3 linked regions of the Ovis aries genome follow. The protein of the gene in region 2 interacts with the protein of the main gene of each other region in a pairwise test. Links are inferred from orthologs where the notes say so. Each region holds a gene or a part of one and is shown on either strand. Other genes may lie near its edges.

The links.
Region 1: the proteins of USP2 (region 2) and CCDC136 interact in binary tests that used the Homo sapiens proteins (3 or more experiments, as listed by UniProt). The two-hybrid records come from large-scale screens. The link is inferred for Ovis aries from reciprocal best matches to the Homo sapiens genes USP2 and CCDC136.
Region 3: the proteins of USP2 (region 2) and LHX4 interact in binary tests that used the Homo sapiens proteins (3 or more experiments, as listed by UniProt). The two-hybrid records come from large-scale screens. The link is inferred for Ovis aries from reciprocal best matches to the Homo sapiens genes USP2 and LHX4.

The regions. Positions count from the first base shown.
Region 1 is NC_056057.1:94,475,853-94,483,329, reverse strand, and holds part of CCDC136 (coiled-coil domain-containing protein 136), read right to left. Parts: intron 6,836-7,477; coding exon 6,641-6,835; intron 6,197-6,640; coding exon 5,969-6,196; intron 4,559-5,968; coding exon 4,049-4,558; intron 3,672-4,048; coding exon 3,444-3,671; intron 2,359-3,443; coding exon 2,077-2,358; intron 1,365-2,076; coding exon 1,080-1,364; intron 1-1,079. UniProt on the Homo sapiens protein: May play a role in acrosome formation in spermatogenesis and in fertilization.
Region 2 is NC_056068.1:29,667,353-29,675,522, reverse strand, and holds the start of USP2 (ubiquitin carboxyl-terminal hydrolase 2), read left to right. Parts: upstream 1-3,799; 5' UTR 3,800-3,937; intron 3,938-4,832; exon of another isoform or gene 4,833-4,985; intron 4,986-5,070; exon of another isoform or gene 5,071-5,134; intron 5,135-5,961; exon of another isoform or gene 5,962-8,170. UniProt on the Homo sapiens protein: Hydrolase that deubiquitinates polyubiquitinated target proteins such as MDM2, MDM4 and CCND1. Isoform 1 and isoform 4 possess both ubiquitin-specific peptidase and isopeptidase activities.
Region 3 is NC_056065.1:60,846,866-60,854,342, forward strand, and holds part of LHX4 (LIM/homeobox protein Lhx4), read left to right. Parts: intron 1-3,058; coding exon 3,059-3,213; intron 3,214-3,600; coding exon 3,601-3,772; intron 3,773-5,916; coding exon 5,917-6,311; 3' UTR 6,312-7,477. UniProt on the Homo sapiens protein: May play a critical role in the development of respiratory control mechanisms and in the normal growth and maturation of the lung. Binds preferentially to methylated DNA.

The sequences.
Region 1 (7,477 bases), on a different chromosome or scaffold from region 2:
GCAAAGGAACATCTCCATAAGCAGACACAAGAAATGTACTAGATTTTGAAGTAGAAAAATCCAGGCAGCTGTCTAGAAAGATGGCACATGAGGCAAGGAGATCTGTGAGGAGGAGGTTCTGAACAGGCATGTGGTGGGATATAAAGACTTCAAAGAAATGGAACCCTGAAGGAGGGGCTGAGCTTACTCCTACTTCCCACATCCTAAGTCAAGGTCCTCTGCCAAAAGATTGACAGAGAACTGTAACTGGGTCCTTAGCCAGTGGCACAGACTAAACTGACAGAAAATTCCAGAAAACCTTACAAGTTGACTGGGACATCCCACCATAAGAGACTTACTACCCTGTGTTCAAAGGGACAAAAAGAATCAGTACTATAAACTGAGGACTTCTTCAGATACTAATCAAACCCTTCAGAAATCAGAGCCCCCAGTTAACTTCAACCAGGGCAGAGATTCAGCTAGTATGTTCCTATATAGATGTACCAGTTGTTAAAATATAGAAATGCTTTTGTTCTGTTGGTATGTTACCCAGGACACTCCCCTCCAACCTCCCAAGATCTGGTAACTAGAGGGTTAGGGCTCTGGTTGGCCTCCTGAGATTGGCCAACGGCCCTGCTGTACAGATGGAATGTCCCAGCACTTCTGATGGGCTCCACCCCCTTCCTCATGCCTGTAATACTATATAGAACCCAGGAGGCACACCAGCCTCTCCACACCCCTCACGGCAATAGAAGTCAGCCCTAGGGGTGCACCCTGGGAAATCAGGACTGGATAACTTGCCCCGGCTGACAGAAATGGCCATCACTGTCCTCAGCACAGCGCTAGCAGAGGGTGAAGAACCCTCCTGAAGTAACAAGGGCTACCCTGTAGATGAAAGAAGGTGGGACTCCAACCAGTACACTGCAGTTCCCAGAAAATGTGGTCCCCACCTCCACTCCCACTTCCCCAGTGTGGTGCCTCAGAGCTTGCCGGCCTCTGTTCCTGCCAAAGTCCATCCAAGGGCTGGGCCACCCCCAAACACTGGGCACTTGCAACCAAGAGCCCATTTCCCACACGATCTAGCCTTCAGCTATGGTTACCTTTTTGCTCTCAGAAAGTTTGAGGGGGTTGCTTTCCTCTGAAGCTTCTTCATCATCCTCCTCCTCCTGGTCGTCTTCGTCCTTACCCTCCTGGTTGGGGAACTCTTCGTCTTTCTCCTCCTGATCGTCTTTGAACTTAACCTCTTTAGGACCTGATGGCTCAGAAACCATTCTGTCCTGGGACTCCTCCTTTGTTTCCTCCTTCTTTTCCTCTTTCTCCTCCTCCTTTGTTGGACCATCCAAGGATGTGTGGCTGGCCTTATAGTACAGCACCACCTCCAGACTCTGTGGGCGGGGGCAGGACCGGGGATGCTGCTATGACCTTCACGATGATGCTCAACCACCTCGGGAACACGTGCTTCCTGGTGTGTCATGGTGCGTACACAGTACTGTGTCCCGGGACCCAACTGATGCCCCTGTGCACCATGTGGAGGGTAGCCACACCCAACTTCTCTGTGCCTGTACTACACCTACCTGGGACCACACACCTACCTGGGACCACATGTCTACCCAGGACCACACCTACCTATCCGGCCATTAGCCATTTCCTGTAGTTCTCAGAGCTAAAGATCCTACACCTCAACTGCTGTTTCCTACCCTTGCATGGTGGCTCCCATTTTATCCAATCCTCTTCCACGTATGTGTACACAGGGCTTTGAATAAATTCCTTTCTTTTCATCCATTTGGTGCTTCTCTTGGGCATGTGATCTAGGAAAACCACCTCCCACCCCTCCACAAATTGCACTGGGCTACCTGAAACAGTCATCCAGCCTGGGGGCTAGAGCTCCAGATCCGAGTGGTCCGTATTCTACCCTCCCCTTGACCTCACAAGAAAAGGGAGGACCAAACCACTACTAAGATGGATCTACTCTAGACAAGAGACCCCAGAAGCTTCTCTACAGTGACCTCATCTGGTCACAACGGTGATGGAGATGAATTTTCTTCCCAGGATCTCTGGTAACTTCCTACTCGTCTGACTACTAAGGTTACTACTCACCTTTGTAGTCTCAAGGCCGCTCTCAGTACTCTCTACGCTTGGCTTGGCCACCTTTTTATTTTTCACCCCATTGGCGTTCTTGTTCATGTTCTTGTTGCCGTTCTTGCCCCTGATTTCCTTGGTAACAGAGGACTTCTTCTCTTTGAGCTGGCGGAGCTCTTCCTGGCAGCACTGTAGCTGCCCCTCCAGCTGCTCCTGCACGGCCAGGAGCCGCCCCTGCTCATCCATGCTGGCCTGGTACTGCAGCTGCAGCTCCCGCAGCTTGGCCTGCAGTTCCTTGATCTGTTGGTAGTGGAGAGCCCATTACCCGCAGCTGGGCCTACGTGATTAGTCTGGCCCCTGCCTGGGGGTCCTGGCCTCAGAATCTCCCTGCTAAAGCCCGGGGGGAGGCAGATAATACAGAAAAAGTGAAAACCATGGGAAATTAGCCTCAAAAGCAGTTTTACAAAGAGGTTCTCCCTAATTTGAGGCACCTGACTTACAGCTAATGTGATTTAAAAAAAAAAGGATGACTTAAATTACGCTTTTTCTATGAACTGGTGGGGGAATGACTGCTGGGCTAACTGAACCATGGGGCTTGATTACCTAGTGGTTTTTGATAGGAACTCCTACTTCGCTCAGGCTATTTCTCTCACAGGTCAATCATTACTATAGGAACTGCGTCATATCATTCTGAGACCGGACTGGGCTCTTGCACCTTGCCCTGGAAACAAAGGCAACCGCCAACCCTGCTCACTGCTCACTGGTTTTTGTCCTTCCTGGCTTCTGGCAGCACACTGTGGCCTCTGAGGCAGGTACCAACACTAAGCAACTGAGGCCCATGTGTTTCCTGCTCTCTGAGCTTCTCCCATGTGCACAGTGACCCCCACTGGACAGTGGACTACTCCTGGTCAGAGTCAATGCCCTCTATCCCATTCTTAGGGATGCAGAGCACTCTGCTTGGTATTATGAGAAATCCAAAAGACCTGGCCCTGTCCTTGAGGGGCTTACAATCTAGTTAAAGAGACAAAGTGGAATATACACAAACTAACTAAAGAAAATTGGCAGGTAAGAAAATGCAACTCTACAGAAGTGCTCTAGGACAAAAGAGAGAACAAAATGGCAGACGGGAAAAAAATCATTTCAAGGGGTCTTGATGATCAGTAAATTCCAGAATAGCGGGCACCTGAGAAATGCCTGTCAGAGGCCCAGCAGACTGCCCTGCTGCCTGGAGTTCAGCCCCTACTCCGTCCCTCCACCAGGAGGATGGCACCTGAACAGAGTCAGCAGTGAGCTCCCGTCTCACCCTCAGCCTCTCTGAAAGGACTCCAACCTCCTTGGGTTCTGGGGACACCTATGAGAAGCCCTGCCTCGCTGAAAGCAGTTACCTCATTCTTGTCCTTGTCGTTTTGGGAGGCGACGGGCTTCTCAAGGCCTTCCATGCACTCCTTGAATTCCTTCTCGCAGGCGTCCAGCTCCTCCTTGAGCTCTTTCTGCTCATCCAGCAGCTTCTTCATCCGCTGCTGCAGCAGCTTGTGCTCTTCCTGGCTGAGCTGGTACATGGCCTGCACACCCTGCAGCTTGATCAGCACCTTGGCGACCACGTCCTCAAGGTGCTGTGGAGGGCGAGGAGTGAGGAGGGCACCCTGAGGAGCCCCTGCCCTCCACCCGCTCTCTTCGCTGGGCCCTTTTTTCTCATGGGTACAAAACACTGGCCGATAGGATCTGAAGCTGCCCAGGGGGAGAACACTGGATTTCTTCCCATGAAGAGCACATGACTGTGTTGATGAAAAGTCCAGAATCTTAGACTTCCGTCCAGATGGAACTGCATCTCCATAGGAAGTGGGGAGAGCACCTCATTCATTTCCTGACGGTCACCCAGCTCAGCTCTGAGCCCGCTGCCCACTTCACCTCTCGGGCCCTTCCCCGTGGCCTCTCCTAATGAGACAAGAACCATTGTCCCCTGTCTGACCGGACACCTGACTGCCTTTACCTCCACATCTCCAGGCTCGGCCAGCTCGTCGTCCATGCTGCTGCTGACGTAACTCTTGTGACAGGTGACGGAGCTGCTGCTGCTGCTGCCATAGCTCCTCTTATAGGTGTCGGAGCTGCTGCTGCTGCTGCTGAGGTAGCTCCGCTGACAGGACTCGCTGGCATCTGTGCTGCTTTCGTAGCTCTTGAGGAGGCTCTCTTCACTGGCCTGGCTGCTGCCGTAGCTCTTCTGGTAGCCCTCATCGTCATTGAGGTTGCAGCTCTTGTGGCAGTTCTCGTTGCTGGTGGTCGTGCTCGCGTAACTCTTCCTGTAGGAGTCCAGGCTCATCTTGATTGCAGGGGACTGGTCTTGGAGCAGCTGCATTTCTTCCAGACAGAGCTGCAGGTCGGCCTGCAGCCTCTTCCGCTCCTCCAGAAGCCGCTCCTGCTCCTGCTGGAGCAGCTCCTGCTCGGTCTCACTGGCCTCGTACAGCTCCTGCAGGGCCTGCATCTGGGCGATGATCATCTTGGACTGGCGGGAGTGGGTGGGGAGACACCAGCGTTACTTCAGACGCTGCGATCCTTCCAGCGGAACCCCTCCTGGTGAGGATGTCTGAGATCCCAGGTCAAGGAATGGCACACCTGGCCCTCCCAGCTCACCGTGGCCCAGGACTTCCACTTAGCCTGCAGGTACCTGGCATGATTCAATTTCTTACTCACTGGAGAAAATTTCCTAGGGCAGACACTCTGCAATTTCTGGGCTCTCACTTCCCCTGGCTTCTATGCTCTGGTAACCTCCTCTCTCCCTGGAGTAGCACTGAGTGGGTCTCAAGGTCACTCAGCCTCCCTTCTCTCTTCTTAGTCAGGTGGACCTATTATCCTGATCTATGGGGCTCAGTCCCCTCCTCCACCCCCAATTCTAAAATCACCCCTGGCCACGAACATGAGCGTACAAAGAACTCCTCCCTTGGAAGATGCAGACTTCCAATCAGGGTCTCACTATGAGTCCCTCTCCTGCCTCAATTCCAAATCTGGCTTCTGGCATGCTTCCTGGGCCCTCTGGGCCTGGCTCCTTGGCAGCTGATGCCCAGGATGAGATCTGATCTGTTAAGGAAATATTTGCTATTTCCTGGTCTGGTTCCTGGTCTCTGTTATCCAGGCTGAAATCGGATGCCCCTGGAACCTGATCAACCAAATTGCACAGTTTGGACTTCTGCTGCTCCATGCACCTCTGCCTGTCTAGGCTAATATCTGGACAAATCAATCTCACTTAAATGGAAACTGTCTTCCTGCTCTTCCTTGCCTACACTGAGGCCTCAGACCAAATGCATCTCCCAATCCTGAACACACTTGTTTAGAAATTTCCACCAGTATGACCTCAGAGGCCTGACCACTCACTGGTGCTTGAGACACATGGATTCTCTAGTCTAATGCCTCTGACCTGGCTGTTACTGCTGCAAAGTTCCAATCCAATGAAGACAGTGAGGTCAGTACCAAGAACCCCATATGCTGGGAATTTCTGTCTTGGAAACAAATGGCCCCAGATATGCCTCATGTAGAACACCAAAAGGTTACAGATTTGGATCACTGGAAAGCGAACATCTCAATTATCAACCAGCTCATGAGGAAAAGACATGTTTAGAGTCAGTCCTAAAGAACCCAAACACTAGGTTGATCTACCTCCAACTACATCTGGAAAATGAGGTATTAAAGAGACTGAGTTCAAAGGATCAGGAGATCACAGACTTCCTGGTCATCACAGTGCTTCAGCTGGGCATCCATCCAGAGGAGCAGCTCAGGCCAGCCCTAACTAAGGAGCCCATGAGTGGGCTTTAGCTTCCTCTCTGCTCCTGGCCTTCGGAACTCAGACCCTGCTATGGAGCCCCTTTCCCTAGCATGCTGCTACCCCCAGAACTGTCTCCCTACCTCTTGCTATGGTTACCTTGTTGTGACCACACTTTGAGGACTTAGGCCATTTGGGATCCTCGGGATTCTCCAACACTTCCCGGAAGCTGGACTCCTTGAAATGGTGCAGGGCTCCTTGCAGTTCTAACTGTTCTTTTACTATGTTCTCTTGGTTCTGTATCAGTTTCTTCTGCTCCTCCTGCATGCCTTGGTAGAGCATCTGCACTTCACACAGGTCCTGTAACTTTGTGAGGAGCTCCTGACTCTGTGAGGTGGAGCGGAAGGAAGTGGGCGGCACTGTGATGGTTACACGGAAAGACCTCTGCCTCCTTCCCTCTGGGGACCCTTCCCTCAAAGGAGTTGGCTTTGCTCAGCCCACCTGGGACAGGAGGGGAGTCTTTCTACACAGACCTGCTAGTGGAGGAGTAAAGACCTCCTGTGGGTGGATGTCTTTTGCTTTTTATAAAGTGATTTCAAGGACATTTTCTCCAGATGGACTAAATGTCTAAAACGTTGGACAGATTCCAGAGTTGAGGATGTATTTCAAGATTTAAAGCCCTAATCGGCTATTGTGAGCAGTTTTGTGAGAGGAGACTGGCGAGAAAGTGAGGAGTTAAGACAAAGTTCCATTTGCTCCCTTTCACTTCTCCTCAGGTCGCTCACATCCGGGAAGGGCCTCACAGCTGACGGCCGCCCTGGCCGCCATTACCTTGTGGAAGAGACCAGACTTGGGGAGCGGGAACGTGAGCCTGTGCAGCTCTTCTTGTAGCTGGCCCTGCTCCTCCTGCATCCTCCTCTGTTCCTCCAGGAGCTCGCACTGCTCCATCTGCATCTGCGCCATCTCCTTCTGGCTGGCCTTGTAACTCTCCTGCAATTCTGTCAGTCTGAAGAGCAGCGCGTCACACTGTGGACGGGGCAGGGCACACAGGGCGGTCAGCGGACCACGCCTGTGTTCTGTCCTGTGATTCACCAGAGTCTCCTGCCCTGTGGTCACCTTAGACTAATCACCCCAAGCTCCACTGTGCCCTCTAGAGGCCTAGATGCTGAACGGGAACCCCAGCAGGCCGCTCAGGGCTGAAGTTTGGCCATGCTGGATATTTTGCCTACTAGTCCTCTCTGAGGGTGGTTTTCAAGAGAGTGTTGGCAATGCCCCTCCCTTCTTACCTCCCTCCTGCTTCTTTCCTCTGGTGAAGACCATTTTCCCACCGTGCTGGGAATTCTAGTTCTCCAGTTGTTTCTATAACTGATTATGTTCCTTACCAATAACGATGTATTTTCACCCTAATTTTCCCCCATTTTTGTGTTCATCATCAGCTTCAAGAATCTTTAGAGAAGTATGAACTATTGCTGAGCTGGGGTTGAGAAGACTAAAGTATCCTATGATTCCAAAAACCCAATCTTCTAATATTAGACTAGTCTCAATGCTCTTTTAGGACTAGAGAAAAGACCGGCTCTGTGTGCCAGCATCCTTCTCCCTTCCTATGGTCCCCTCCCCTAGTAGAGGAAGTGATGAGCAGGATATGGACCCCTTGGACCTCTCAATGCA
Region 2 (8,170 bases):
AAATACTCACCCTAACCAATCACCTAATGCCACCTTTCCAGCAGGAATTTTTTTTCTTGAGGCTATAAAAATTGGCTGCTGCTGCTGCTGCTGCTAAGTCGCTTCAGTCCTGTCTGACTCTGTGCGACCCCATAGATGGCAGCCCACCAGGCTCCCCTGTCCCTGGGATTCTCCAGGCAAGAACACTGGAGTGGGTTGCCATTTCCTTCTCCAATACATGAAAGTGAAAAGTGAAAGTGAAGTCACTCAGTCATGTCCGACCCTCAGCGACCCCATGGACTGCAGCCTACCAGGCTCCTCTGTCCATGGGATTTTCCAGGAAAGAGACTGGAGTGGGTTGCCATTGCTTTCTCCGATAAAAATTGGCTACTAACCCACAAAAACTGTTGACTCTCCCTGACCTGTCAGAAGGTCAGCCCACTTCACTTGAAGCACCCTAAACTCACTCCCTTCTGAAATACTCTGTGTCTGGAAATTCTTTTCCAACCCAGGCTCAGACTGCCATGACATACAGTGGTTTTGGGGACTCTGTTAAAGCAAAAATCAGATCTACGTCCCTCCTCTGTTCAGTGGCTCCTATCTCAAAGTAAAAGTTCAGTTCAGTTCAGTTCGTGTCCGATTCTTTGCGACACTATGGACTGCAGCACATCAGGCTTCCCTGTCCATCACCAACTCCCGGCGCTTACTCAAACTCATATCTATCAAGTCGGGGATGCCATCCAACCATCTCATCCTCTGTCATCCCTTTCTCCTCCTGCCTTCATTCTTTCCCAGCATCAGGCTCTTTTCCAGTGAGTCAGTTCTTCGCATTAGGTGGCCAAAGTATTGGAGTTCCAGCTTCAGCGTCAGTCCTCCCAATGAATATTCAGGACTGATTTCCTTTAGGATTGACTGCTTTGATCTCCTTGCAGTCCAAGGGACTCTCAAGAGTCTTTTTCAACATCACAGTTCAAAAGTATCAAATCTTTGGCACTCGGCTTTCTTTATAGTCCAACTCTCACATCCATACATGACTACTAGAAATCTTTCCAGTAAAAGTTAAAGTCACTGAAATGCTCTTAGGATCCAACAAGGGTGTTCCCTTATCTCTTTGACTTTGTCTTCCTGTCTCTAGCTTGTCCTCTTTCACTCCAACCGCACTGATCTTCATTCTCTTCCTCAAAGGTGGCCTACCTCAGGACATCTGCATTACTGTTCCCTCTGTTTCGAATACTCTCTGCCCAGACATCCAGATGGCTCACTCCCTTAGCTCCTTTGGGTTATCCAAAGTCACTTTATCATTGGGACCATCTCTGATATCACTTGACACACTGTATCATCCTCCCTGTTTTATTTGCCTCTATCACTCTGAATGCCATCCAATACTATATAGTTTACTTATTTCCTTATTGTCTTCTACTTCTACAAAATGTAAGCTCCTTAAAGGCAAAGACTTCGCCTGTTTTGTTCACTGCTGTATCCCCACTTCCAAGAAGATTACCCAGCATGTCCAGTAGCTATCCCTAAAATGCAATGGAATGAGGGTCCTAAGGTAAACAGAGTAGGCGGTCCCTGGAGAAAGAGAACTAGGTATTGCTTTCTTGACAGAGGAGAAGCCATTTTTGGCTGAAGCTGTTTTGTCATCTAAGCCTGGCCTCAGTGGCAGATCTTGAACAGGTCTCAGTGACCAACGACCTTAAGTGAAGGGAAAGAATGCAGAAATAAAGGAAAACCAGTCAAGAAACAATTGCTCAGTTAAGTAATAGTAAACAATAGTTTAATAAAAAGAGTCCTAGTTCTTCCTCAAGGGATACACATAAGAATCTGATGTCAGTCTTTTCGTTCAGCTGGATCTAAGAGCCTCACCAAGGTGGAGGATGATAACTATCTGCTGAGACCCTAGACAGGTCTGAATCTAGGGAATGATGCTGACCTTTTCCAACACTCTGACTTCAATCAACTAAGGTGAAGTCACTCAGTCGTGTCTGACTCTTTGCAACCCCGTGGACTGTAGCCCACCAAGCTCCTCTGTCTGTGGGATTCTCCAGGCAACAGTACTGGAGTGGGTTGCCATTTCCTTCAATCAACTAAAGCCCTCTGTTAAAAAGCAGAGACATCACTTTGCTGACAAATTCCATCTAGTCAAGGCTATGGTTTTTCCAGTAGTCATATATGGATGTGAGAGTTGGACTATAAAGAAAGCTGAGGGCCAACAAATTGATGATTTTGAACTGTGGTGTTGGAGAAGACTCTTGAGTCCCTTGGACTGCAAGGAGATCAAAGCAGTCAATCCTAAAGGAAATCAGTCCTGACTATTCATTGGAAGGACTGATGCTGAAGCTGGAACTCCAATACTTTGTCCACCTAATGCGAAGAACTGACTCACTGAAAAAGAGCCTGATGCTAGGAAAGAATGAAGGCAGGAGGAGAAAGGGATGACAGATGAGATGGTTGGATGGCATCCCCGACTCAATGGACATGAGTTTGAGCAAGCTCCAGGAGTTGGTGAATGACAGGGAAGTCTGGTGTGCTGCAGTCCATGGGGTTGCAGAGTCAGTGACTGAGGGACTGAACCAAACTGAAGGCTGTTAACCTTTGATCCAATTCTATGTGGAATTCCGTTTAAGCCCCTTCATGAATATGCATACACTGCTCAATCCCTCATGAATATGCATGTACCCTTAGCTTAAAACTTCCCCAATTTTGCTATTCAGGGAGACACTGCTTGGGGAAAGATCCCATCTACTCTCCTCCCTTGCTGCAAGTAATAAATTCTTCCTTCTCCAGATCTTTTGACTTGGTTGTCTTTTGGCTTGACACCCACCAAAAGGGGAACCCGGTTTGAGGGTAACAATAGGAAACACAAGAGCTGCGATCTGGAAGGTATTTGTCTTGCACAAGAGGGACACAGCTCTCACCGCTCCTGGAGCAGAGGTAAGAATGAATTCAGCTATGTTTGTAGGCAGAACTTTAAGGATTTCCCTCCTGATTGCCTCCAGTTCCTCAGGGAAATAGAAGACAAGGAGGGACTTGGGAGAGTGGTAATGGACAAATGCCAGCTGCAGAGAACAAGAGAAGCAGCTAAGGACACTTGGAAGGACTGACGGTCCAGGTGAAACTGAAAACCTTGGACTTGCCTTGGCACCAATCTACCTGGCCGTGTGGTTTTCTTCACAGTAGAGGAAAGGGGGGAAAGTTATATACAAAGAATGGAAGTGACCCAAAAAATCAAGTTTCCTTTGGCTTTTTCTTGAAAGACAAAAAGAGAATCTCTTCTACTGACCCAGTGCCACCGTTTTACCCACTTCAGAAAACACCACCAGTCACTCGTCTCATGTTAGTAAAATAAGCAGAGAGTGTCTTAAAGAGTAGAGAAGGGAAGAGCCAGAAGAACTGGCCCTCTCCCAGTCGGGTGGGAAGGAGCTGGAACATTTAGCCTTCCCTAAAATCTGAAAGCTGATATGTACGCCCTGGGGTTCAACGCTGAGCCTTCTCCCCGTGACCCTTCCTCTTTCCCAATACCTTCCAGCTGTCCCGTCGTGTCATATTCAGGCCCACTTCAGGTACTCCAACCACCCCTTCCAAGCTCGCGTGCCTTTTCTCCACGTGGTTCTCTGTATATGTCGGTCGCCTGGGAGATCCTGGTCGGGCGGGGCTCTGATGACGTCATAATAGGAACAAGCCAATCGCCGTGACGCGTCTCAGTGACGCTAGACGCGAGGTGTGGCTTTGCCGGCCCCGGGCGCAATGAGGCGGCAGCCCGCTGGGTGGCGCCGATTTCCCGGGGAGGTCCTCTCTGGGCCCCCGGCGGAGGTGGGGTAGAGGCGGGCAAGAGCCGAGGCCAGGGAGCCCTCTGCGTCAGCGGCTGTTTACTGCGCCGCTCCAGTACCAGCCGGGACTCATCGGTAGCTCCATGCTTGTGCCCGGCTCGACTCATCCATCCTCAGAGAATAGGCAGGTACGTGCCACCTGTCGGAGACTGGGGAAGAGGGGATACGGAGGGCAGTGCCGTGTGAGGCTCTGAGAGTGAGGTGTCAACGACCGCCTGGGCAAAATGGGCACTAGAAATGTAGGGCAAGTGCCAGCTGCGCTGAGGATCTCCAGCTGTGGGTGCCAGTTGTGTGTGTGAGCCGACAGCTCAGGGTGCCAGGGAGAGCCATCTGTGTGCTGATCAGTGTGTTCTCAGGAAACGCTGCTTGGGCAGGACCGCATCTCCGAGCCCTGTGTGGGATGTGGCGGAGAGTGACGCCTGGGCCCTGGCAAACCCCTCCCCACGTGTGCGTGGCAGCCTTCTTACTCCCTCCTCTCAAAGCTCCTGGGGGCTTGTCTCTGATCAGTTTGCCAAAGAGGGGTAGGGGTGGGGGGGAGGGTAGTAGTTAAGTGGAAAAGGGGTAGATTTTCCACCAATCCCAAACAAGAAAGAGGCATCTTTGAAATTCTCACCAATCCCAAACCAGAATCAGGCACGCGATGCTCCAAGGCAAGTAACTTATACTCAACAGCCTAAGGAAGCCCATTCTGGCTGTCCTCTAAGGAGGAGCATCTACCTCCTGACCTGGCCGCTCTTAGAATGGAACTGAGCTGGAGATCCTGCCCATGCTCATCTCCCCAGGCACAGGCAGGAATAGGTCCCCAGAGTCCGACATGTACAGTGGAGGAAAGGAGAGCTGGTTGGGCTGGGGTTGGAGCAGCCACCATTCCTTTGATGCTGTAGATGATGCCAGACTGGAGTCGGAATGAGGACTGGAATGAGGGCTGGGGACGAGGGCGTCCTCTGAAGTGCATCATCAGGACCTGAGCTGAGTCAGTAGTCTCTGCTGAGACAGGGTGGAGGCACCATCCCGGGTACTCCCAGTCCTCAGGGACAGCCATCGAGAAACAGGAGGAACAGCTGGGAGCTGACAAGAGCACCAAGGTCCGAGAGGTTCAGAATCCTGCACCTTCCTCCTGTGACCCTGCCCAGCCAGCCTGGCTCTGTAGGCTCGGGATCCTGAACACTCCTCCAGGTAGAGTGGAACCACTCCAGAGCAGCCAGGCTTGCTCCTGGTAGCCTGGGGGAAGCTACACTTGCTATATATTTTTCTAGGTAGAGAAGGAAAGAGCCCAAGTGGGCCTGGCCCTCCTCTGATGGGTGGACTGCACATCTGGGAATAGGGTAAGCCTCATTTGCCTTGCCAGCTATGGGACACGGATCAGCTCGGAAAACCATGGCAGTTTTCTGACATGAGAACAGGGCACTCCCACGGGGTGGCCTGGAGGAACCTTTTCTCACTAGCAAGGTTCACCTGACAAATGCTACCACTAATTAGAAGTGGAAGTATTTGATCTAGTAGTGATTATCATTTATTGAACTCTTACTATGTGCCAGGAAATTAACAAGCATTATTTAATCCTCACCTCCATGAGGTATATCATTATTATTACTCCTGTTTTAAGACTAAATAAGGTTTGGACCACTTAAATGACCGCTTAAATGTCTCTGAGGCAATAAAAAGGAAAGACTTGGAATACAAGCCCAAGCCTAGAAGTCCATTATAAAAGAGCTTGAACTGGAAACCTGAGAGAGGTCCCTTCTGCCTCTCCCTGCTTCTGTGTCCTTGAGGGAGCTGCTGTCTGCCTCCAGGTCTCCTCCATCTCAGAGCTAAAGGAGGTGGACTGGGGCTTCTTTCTCTTCTCTACTTCTGTGACTGACACCTCCTTCTCCATATTTTTGCCTAATTCCACCCCCATCCCTCTACCCTCTTTCCAGTTCTGCTTCCCCTTGAATCCCCCTTCTGTTCCATTTCAAAATGCTCCCTGCAAACAGTCTCCCAGGATCTCCTTGCCTGGCACCCACCTCGAGAGGGAGGGCCTGCCACTGCCCCTTTAATTCTCCCTGGGCTCAGAATGCCAGCGAGTGGAGCTAGCCATCTCCATGAGGTCAGATAAGATACTATATATATCGAGTCAGTAACCTGAGCCCCGGATTACCCGGCCCAAGTCAGACTCCTGCTTCTGGGCTCGCCACTGCACTCCCTGCCCTGCCGGGGAAGGAGAAGCCCCCAGATCCTGCCCAGTGTCCCCGGACACAGGTCGGTAACTGCTCCTTTGGTATCCGAAATTCACAGGGCCGTTGTCCCTAGGGCCCTGGACTGTCTGTTTGAGGGATCCCTGTCTGTTTGGGGGAGCATGTGAGAGGCCACCCCACCAGGCCTGGAGGTGCTATGGGCAAGACCCAGGGGCAGAACCAAGGGCTGGGAGGCCAGGAGGAGGAAGCTGAAGCCCTGGAGGAGAGGGAAGGAGCCTGGGGCTCTCCCCTGGGGTAGGGGTTCCAGGAGAGTGCCTGGGACAGTCGTGGTTAGAAAACAGAATTTAAGAATTCCAATACTGCCTGGGGGCCCCATATCTTTGCCTTTTCTTGGAGGTATAGAGATGCCAACCCCCTCCCAACCCAAATGAAGGAGAACCCTGAAGAGACACTGCGTTAAGCCCACCCACCTCTTCTCCTCCAGGCGGAATTCTGGTTTTAATCTCCAGTCTCTTTATTTTACCTCTTTTGCCCGTCCCAGCCCTTGAGTAACTGTTGGGATCTAGAGAAACTGAGAGGGACCCAATCCCCTTGATGACCCCCGGCCAAGGCCTATCAGGCACTAAACTGGTGGGTCAGAGGGTGCCAGCCCAAGAGGTAGAGCCGCTAGCTCCAGGCTGAGGCTCCTGGGCATCTGAGAGCAGTAAACAGAACTCCTGAACTGTGAGAGCACAAATATCCCCCACCCCAACCTCCCCCTCCGCCTACATGTTCCACTCCTGCCAGGACATCCCGCGACCTAGGGGATGACGCTTGTGTCTAGGCAGTGTCCCAGCAGCCGGGCTTGTGGGTGGGAAAGTGTAGATGGAGACAGGGCCCCTCTGTCAGCCCACTTTACCCTTCAAGGTCAGCCGTCTCAGTCAGTGCCTCATTCCGATGTTGTTAGCAAGCAGCTTTGGGAAGCTCTGAGGTCACCCCTGTGACGGTTCCCAAGCACCTGTGGGACTGCCTGGGATTCCCTACTCACCTACCTCAGACACAGATAGGAGGAAAGGGACTGAACCCCGCTGAGGTCTATGTCTGAAGCCCAGCTGGGGGCTTTCTATCCAGGCAGTGGCAAGGCCACAGAAGCTGGCATGCCTTCACCCCAGACAGCAGAGTGGATCTAGGCAGAGAGGGGCCATGAAGGCTCCTGGGATGTTGGGCATCACCCATCCCATACCCTGGGGGCCAAGAGTGCCTGGCATTCCTGGGGAGCAAGTCCCTCCCCTGGCTGGGCAGGTTAGGGAGCCCTTCACGTGAGCGGCAGGAAATGACAGTGGCTGATGTAATGCGCTAGTGGCCCCAGGAAGATAGGGTTCATTTTAAGCCCTGACTCACCTAGTCTGGGTACCCTGGGGAGTGGGCCAAGCTGCCGCAAGGGTAGGAGGCGGGGGACATGCAGGAGCTTGGCATCACGGGTGAAATGGAGGCCTCCTGGACCATCTCTCGGCAGATCAGCATTGTTCCGGGGCTCAGGTTGCGCCTGGCTTCGCTTTCATCTGCCTGCAGTGGAAACTCGAAAGGCAGCTCCTTTGGGAGTCTGTACCCGCCACGCTGTTTTGCCTAGACGGTGGACACCTGGACCCCCTCACCCCATGCTGCAGGAACCCCAGCCTGTGCCAGCTCAGGGAAAGGCCAGGGAAGAGAGAAGGGGGCGATGGGTTGGCTTCAAGGTAGGCGTTAGCAGACAGAGCCCAGGTAGGTCCCAGTCCCAGTGTGACCCTGGGGGAGCCACACCACCTCTCCAAACCCTAGCTTCCTCATCTGCACACGGGCATAATAATAGCACCTGTTGCTTAGGGCAGTCGTGAGGATTAACTGAGTGATTAATATGCGGTGTCCCAGAAGTCTTAGTGCTGATTTAAGCTTTAATAACTTCAGAAATATGAATGCTAAACGCTTCACTTGACTGTTTCACTATTTAAATTTCTTGTCTATTTGAATGAAAGTATTTTGAATTTCAATTTAATGTTTAAAAAAATTAAAACTTCAAATGATGTTTGTAAGCCAGGGGCGTTGGGAAGGCTGTCTCAGTGTTGGACTTTGGGCTGCTGAAAAAATGACAAGCTACCTAAGAAGTACCCAGTGGGATGCCTGGTCCAGGGGTGCTCTGTACCTGCTGGCGGGGCGATGGCCAATTGG
Region 3 (7,477 bases), on a different chromosome or scaffold from region 2:
GAGCCTGAGTGCTGGGAGAGGAGCAAACCATTTACGCTCAGTGCTGCTTCTGTGTTGGACTCTGGCTGAGAAGAGCCTTTGACTTACAGGCACCTGAGACTCAAAATCCGTTGAAGACAGTTGATTAGTCAGCTTGTTGTCCTGAACACTCTTTATACAAGTGTTTTTCAAAAAAATGTGTTTGAATATAAGCCACAGTAAGAAACTTGTTTTAACTCAGCACACACATTCATACACCTGACACTGATCAAGTTTCATGAAGCAACACTTGCCCTCATCTGCCTCATCCATCCCACCCCATCCCCCCCACCCCAGCCCAGCCCACCCCATCCCATCCATCCCACCCTAGCCCACCCCATCCCATCCATCCACCCCACCCCAGGCCACCCCACCCCACCCCACCCCATCCACCTCCCCTACCCCATCCCATCCATCCCACCCCAGCCCTCCCCATCCCCCCCCATCCCCCCCCATCCCATCACCCCACCCCAGCCCATCCATCCCACCCCAGCCCTCCCCATCCCCCCCACCCCATCCCACCCACCGCACCCCATCCCATCCATCCCATCCCAGCCCACCCCATCCCCCCACCCCACCACATCCCATCCAACCCCATCCCATCCACCCCATCCACCCCACCCTACCCCATCCCATCCCACCCACCCCACCCCACCCCATCCCACCCCATCCCATCCACCCCACCCCACCCCACCCATCCCACCCCAGCCCTCCCCATCCCCCCCACCACACCACATCCCATCCCACCCCACCCCATCCCACCTACCCCACCCCATCCCATCCACCCCACCCTACCCCATCCCATCCCACCCCATCCCATCCCATCCATCCCACCCCAGACCACCCCACCCCACCCCACCCCATCCACCTCCCCTACCCCATCCCATCTATCCCACCCCAGCCCATCCACCCCACCCCATCTGATCCCATCCAACCCCATCCCACCCACCCTACCACATCCCACCCACCCCATCCCATCCACCCCACCCTACCCCATCCCACCCCACCCCACCCCATCCCATCCCATCCCATCCATCCCACCCCAGGCCACCCCACCCCACCCCATCTACCTCCCCTACCCCATCCCATCCATCCCACCCCAGGCCACCCCACCCCACCCCATCCACCTCCCCTACCCCATCCCATCCATCCCACCCCAGCCCATCCACCCCACCCCATCTGATCCCATCCAACCCCATCCCACCCACCCCACCACATCCCACCCACCCCATCCCACCCACCCCACCCTACCCCATACCATCCCATCCATCCCACTCCAGGCCACCCCATCCTATCCTACCCCATCCCATCCAGCCCACCCCAGCCCACCCCATCCAGCCCACCCCAGCCCATCCATCCCACATCAGCCCTCCCCATCCCCCCCCACCCCACCACATCCCATCCACCCCACCCCACCCCATCCCATCCACCCCACCCTACCCCATCCCATCCCACCCCAGGCCACCCCACCCCACCCCATCCACCTCCCCTACCCCATCCCATCCATCCCACCCCAGCCCATCCACCCCACCCCATCCCACCCACCCCACCACATCCCATCCACCCCATCCCATCCCATCCATCCCACCCCAGGCCACCCCACCCCACCCCATCCCATCCCATCCCATCCATCCCACCCCAGGCCACCCCATCCCACCCCATCCCATCCCATCCATCCCACCCCAGGCCACCCCACCCCACCCCATCCCATCCCATCCCATCCATCCCACCCCAGGCCACCCCATCCCACCCCATCCCATCCCACTCATCCCACCCCATCCTATCCCACCCTACCCCACCCTACCCCATCCTATCCCACCCTACCGCACCCTACCCCATCCTATCCCATCCCATCTCACCCCAACCCCTTCCCACCCACCCCACCCATCCCATCCCATCCCATCCTATCCTATCCCATCCCATCCCATCAATCCCATCCCATCCCATCCCATTCCCCCCACCCCATCCCATCCCATCCCATCCCATCCATCCCACTCCAGGCCACCCATCCCACCCCATCCCACACACCTCACCCCATCCCATCCACCCCACCCCACCCCACCCCACCCCATCCTATCTACCCCATCCCACCCACCCCACCCCCCCCCACCCCACCCACCCCACCCCACCCCACCCCCCCACCCCACCCTACCCCCCCACCCCCACGCCACCCCCCCCACCCCCCCCCCCCATCCCATCCCACCCCACCCACCCTACCCCATCCCATCCCACCCCACCCACCCTACCCCATCCCATCCCACCCACCCTACCCCATCCCATCCCACCCCACCCTACCCCCCATCCCATCCCACCCCACCCTACCCCCCGGTCCCATCCATCCATCCCACCTCACCCCATCCTATCCCACCCAATCCCATCCCATCCCATCCCATCCCATCCCATCCCATCCCATCTCATCTCATTTCATGTTATCCATCTTGTTTGCTCTTTTAGTTTTTGATCAACTAAATTGACTTTACAACCCACTTTTGGGTTCTGACCCATAATTTATGAACATTGCTTAGGTGAATAGTAAATGGACACGTCACCTTTGCTGTGAGCCCAGGGCTGTGGAAAGGCAATGAGATCATGGGTGGGACCTGGGGGAATGGAGGCTTCTGATGGGAGGAGGGACAGGTATCTGGGGCAGCCCAGGGCAAAGACTTCCTTCTGTCTCCTTCCCCTCTGCAGCCTTGGCAGTAACTCACGAGGTTGGCCAGTGGAGTGTGCCATGATGGGGAAACATGTAGAATGGTACGCCTTCAGTCTGATGAGAGCCCCGTGTGGCTGGGCTGGGAAGGAATGGGGAGAGGCAGGGAGCTGAGGGAACAGCATATTGTCCTACCTTTTCAGTGACTCGGGAAGGCCTGTAGTGCAGGAGTGGGCTCCATGTGGATCAAGAATACTCTCCCCTGACATTCCCCATTCTTCCTCCCTCTTGCCCATAGCAGGCAAGATTACATGAGGAAAGGAGGAAGGAGGGGTGAGACCCAGCTGCTTCAGATGGGCTGGACACAGTAAGAAGTGGTTTTCGTTGCAGATGACTCAGAGGCTGGAGCTAAGCGGCCCCGGACCACCATCACAGCGAAGCAGCTGGAGACTCTGAAGAACGCCTATAAGAACTCCCCTAAGCCTGCCCGGCACGTGAGGGAGCAGCTGTCCTCGGAGACAGGCCTGGACATGAGGGTTGTACAGGTGAGGCTCCAGCCACCCCGACCCATGGGGGCGACTTTGCTGACCGGGGGTCCCAGGCCGGGCACCACCTAGTGCCAGGTCTGGCGTGGGGGCGGAGGGTGTCCTGTGGGTCCCCACATCCGCGCGTCCACAGGAGGACGGCTCCAGGTAACCATGGCGCCTCACAGTGCTGTCCCTGATCCCCTCGGGGCGCTGGGCTCAGGGCCATGGCCCAGGAAATCTGCTGAACCAGAGATGTCTGAGGCCCAGGCCAGGGGAAGCGATGGGCACAACCCGCTCCTCACCCATCTGCTGGGCTTCAGCCTCTGTCTCTGGGCTCGGGGACCCCTGGGGCTTTGGGCTCATGGCGGACACCCCCAAAGTGTGTCCCTTTGCTTGTTGTGGTAGGTTTGGTTTCAGAACAGAAGGGCCAAGGAGAAGCGACTGAAGAAGGATGCGGGGCGGCACCGCTGGGGGCAGTTCTACAAGAGTGTCAAGAGGAGCCGCGCAGGCAGCAAGCAGGAGAAGGAGAGCTCTGCGGAGGACTGTGGGGTTAGTGACAGTGAGCTGAGCTTCCGAGGTGAGCAGGGCTGGAGGGGCGAGGCCGAGGCCCTAGGAGAGGCCCCTAGGAAACAGTGACCCCCGACAGGCAGGAGGGGTCTTTCTGGCGGCTTTGCCAGCTCTCTCCTGAACACAGGCCCCACCCTGTGACTTGGAGTAAAGGGTGGGGGGACATGGCCGTGGCCTTTCAGAGGGGACAGGGCAGAGGAAACCAGAGCTCTGCTGCTGACCCATGGAAGCTGGGCTCCCAGGCCTGCAGGCCCGAAGGCCTCCCCTCCTTGCCCGCTGCCCGGGGCTCCCTCATCAGCCCACACAGCTGCAAAGGACCCCTATGTCTCAGTCTGTGCCCCAAGCCCCTCTCCAGCATTTCTCCCCTCAATGGGGTTAGTGGCCTTCCTCCCGTGACCCCCTAGAGTGAGCCCTCTTTTCTGCTGGTGGTGGGAGGATGTGCGTCACAGCCCTTGGCCCTGGGGAGTCAGTACTGCGAGTGCATGTGAGGTGGGGGCTGGCCTCATTCTGAAATCCCTTCCCCCAGCGCTCACTCCGTCTTGTCCCCAGCACATATGCTTTGCTGCATGTGCTACATTCAAATTTTGTGCATCAGCAGAATTGCAAATGGATGCATGTTTTGGATCCTTTAGTTGTTTGCAAATAGCCGTTCTCTTGTATTGAGTCCTCAAATGTGGAAGGTCTTCTGTTGTGGCAGGAGAAGGGAAGAGGCCTGAGCTGGGGGAATCAGAAATCTGGTTTCCAGTTGTGGCTCTGTCCAATTGATTTACTTTTCCTGAGCCTTACCCATCTCTAAATGGGTATAACAGTATCCTTGCCCATATCCCAGTGGTCTTGTGGGAATCCGTGAATACAACTGACTGTGGATGCCTTTGGAGAGAGCTCAGCACATTTTTACACTTGGAAGACACAACCATTCTTAGGAAGCTTGTGGTTCCCACAGAGGGCCCTGGTCACTGGGGATGACAGGTGTAGGCAAAATGCCAGTTAATGGCCATTTTACAGTGTAGCTGAGCCTTCATCTCCTGCCCCCTTTAAAGGGCATGACTCTCCTCCACCTTTTCATTTTCATGGATGGGATGTGGGACAGCCTAGGGCAGGTTGTCAGAAGGGATAAGTGTTGAACTCCACTCTGGGGTGGCCTTGGTAGGAATGGACACACAGGCCCAGTGGGAATAGAAAGTAAGTCTGTGGGGCAGCAGATGGCAAGAGCTGCCTGAGAGGACCATGATTTCTTGAGAGGACCGTAAGTCAGCCCAAAGGTCTGCCCATGAGGCCTGGGGCATGTTCCAGACTCACCTTCCAGGCCTCTTTGGTGGGGACATGGGGGTGGAAAGCCATTCAATCTCCTCTAAGATGCTGAAATCAACATCTGGAACACACAGGATTATCAAGTCTTATTTTGTAGCTCCTTTCTGTTGGGTGCAGGTGGGCCCCCAGGTTGACATATCACTGGTCTCTCCACATAACTATATAATCTTATTTTTCTTAAGACTAAAATTGTTCACCTCTGTTGGAGAGATGAATTCTTCCAGGTGGCAAAGATACCACGAGATCCCGTTAATGAAATTCATCAAGAAACAAGAAGGTCCATTTGCCTTAATCAATCCAATGCTTTGTCCGCAGTGAAGAACTTAGAGAAACCAAGTCCTTTGATACTGAACCTCTTTCCCAGGTAGAGCAGAAAGCTTTCGTATATACATGTCATGAGTCCTCAGCTCCCTTGACCCTACGGCCCTGCTTGTTTCCCTACAACTGAATCAAGCACTTTTCTCAGCTTGAAAGCTTTCAGATGAAATCCTGTTAGCACGGAGTTTCTTCCATTTGTGCTGCGGATGACATGTGATACAGCAAACCTCAGGCATTCATACTCCATAGCCGTTAGTGTAGCCCTCTTCATACATGACCCACCTGAGACCAACAAGCTCACGGAACATTTGTCCAGCCTCCTGGGACCTGGGCGTGTGGTCTCTGGAGGTGTTTGTTCTGTTTCTCCCCTTGACGTGGGTCAGGGTCTGGATGCCAGGCTGACAGGTTGGTGTCTGGTTCATGCTCGGGCTTCTTTCCTGGTCATGTGTATCCCTAGGTTGTGAAGATCAGGGGAGCACTGGAGTCCTGGTGGCTGACAATAAATCTCCGTTCTTTTGTCCACAGAGGATCAGATTCTCTCAGAACTTGGCCACACCAATAGGATTTATGGCAACGTGGGGGACGTTTCAGGCGGACAGTTAATGAATGGGAGCTTCTCCATGGACGGGACAGGACAATCCTATCAGGACTTGAGGGATGGGAGCCCCTATGGAATCCCCCAGTCTCCATCCTCCATCTCGTCCCTGCCATCCCACGCTCCTTTGCTCAATGGGCTGGATTACACGGTGGACAGTAACTTGGGCATCATTGCGCATGCAGGGCAGGGAGTAAGCCAGACGCTGAGAGCCATGGCTGGGGGACCCACCTCTGACATCTCCACAGGAAGCAGTGTAGGCTACCCCGACTTTCCGACTAGCCCGGCCTCTTGGCTCGATGAAATGGATCATCCTCCTTTTTAAACACTTCTCCCCACCCTACCTGTCCTCTGGCTTGAGAGAATATCTTCAAGGATTGAAAGACACCTGCCTTTTAAGGATCGAAAGTGCGCCAATGTGAATTTCCATTATTTTCAATGGAAGTCCTCTGCTGATCCCGGGGAGGTCGCGGCAGGACCCCACTGGGGCTGGCTTTCCTGGGAAGCGGTGGGAGAGCAGCCGCCTCTCAGAACACAGCACAGGGGTGCAGAGCCCAGAGCGCTAGGGTGCCGGCTGGTCGGCTCCTCCCTGCCCCCGTCCTGCTTACAAGCTTTGGCTGCTCAGTGCTTGGTTGATGGGTGACTGTGTCAGGCCACCTAAGCCTTCGGGAACTCTGCTCCAACTGGAGAGTCTTGTGAGATGTCTCCCGAACCACTGCTCTCACCAGAACTGAGATTCCCAAGGTGGAGGCCTCATGGCCCTTGAGTATCGATAAAAGTGATTTCTGGACCACCCTTACTTAACCCCAATTTTCAAAATTAAAAAAGAAAGTCACTTATTAAAGATCAGTGGAAAACTTTGATGACCACAGTTTGATGTTGAAAACATGCTCCCTCCTCTTTTTTTTTTTTTGCTGTGAAAAATATGACTTTTTCCCTACCCAGAACTACACGCCAGAGACAATTTTGTCAGTTTTGGTGTTTATGAAATTCCATCCCAATCACTGAATCGCTGATGGCAAGAAGTGGTTTTTATTGCAGGTGACTCTGAGGCTGGAGCCGAGTGGCCCTGGACCATCCCAGCGACTGCCTGACAAGTCCCCCTGGTGCACAATGTGCCTTTTTAATTTGCTTGTATTATTTATTCCACAAGACAGGCTTTGGGTTCCAAAATGATCAAAGCTAAAATATGGAGAGAACAGAACGACAATCAGTGAAAATATTTGCAGACGTTTGGATTCCAGACATGCAGTTGGTTTAGCCAAATCGGCAGATGCTAGTCTCCCAGAGTTCTCATCCGGTAGGGTGAAATGATATTGGACCTGTTTGGAGGGAGTTGGTTTAGATGAGATTGTAAGTCCACTGCCCACCTGCAGCCAACCGTCCTCAGCCCTTTAAAAATGAGCGCTCTCTCTGCCACACTAGCTGACTCAGTAGGAGGACAGTCTTGGCCTCTTCCGAGTACTGGCCGTGCTTCTTGGCCCGTCTCGG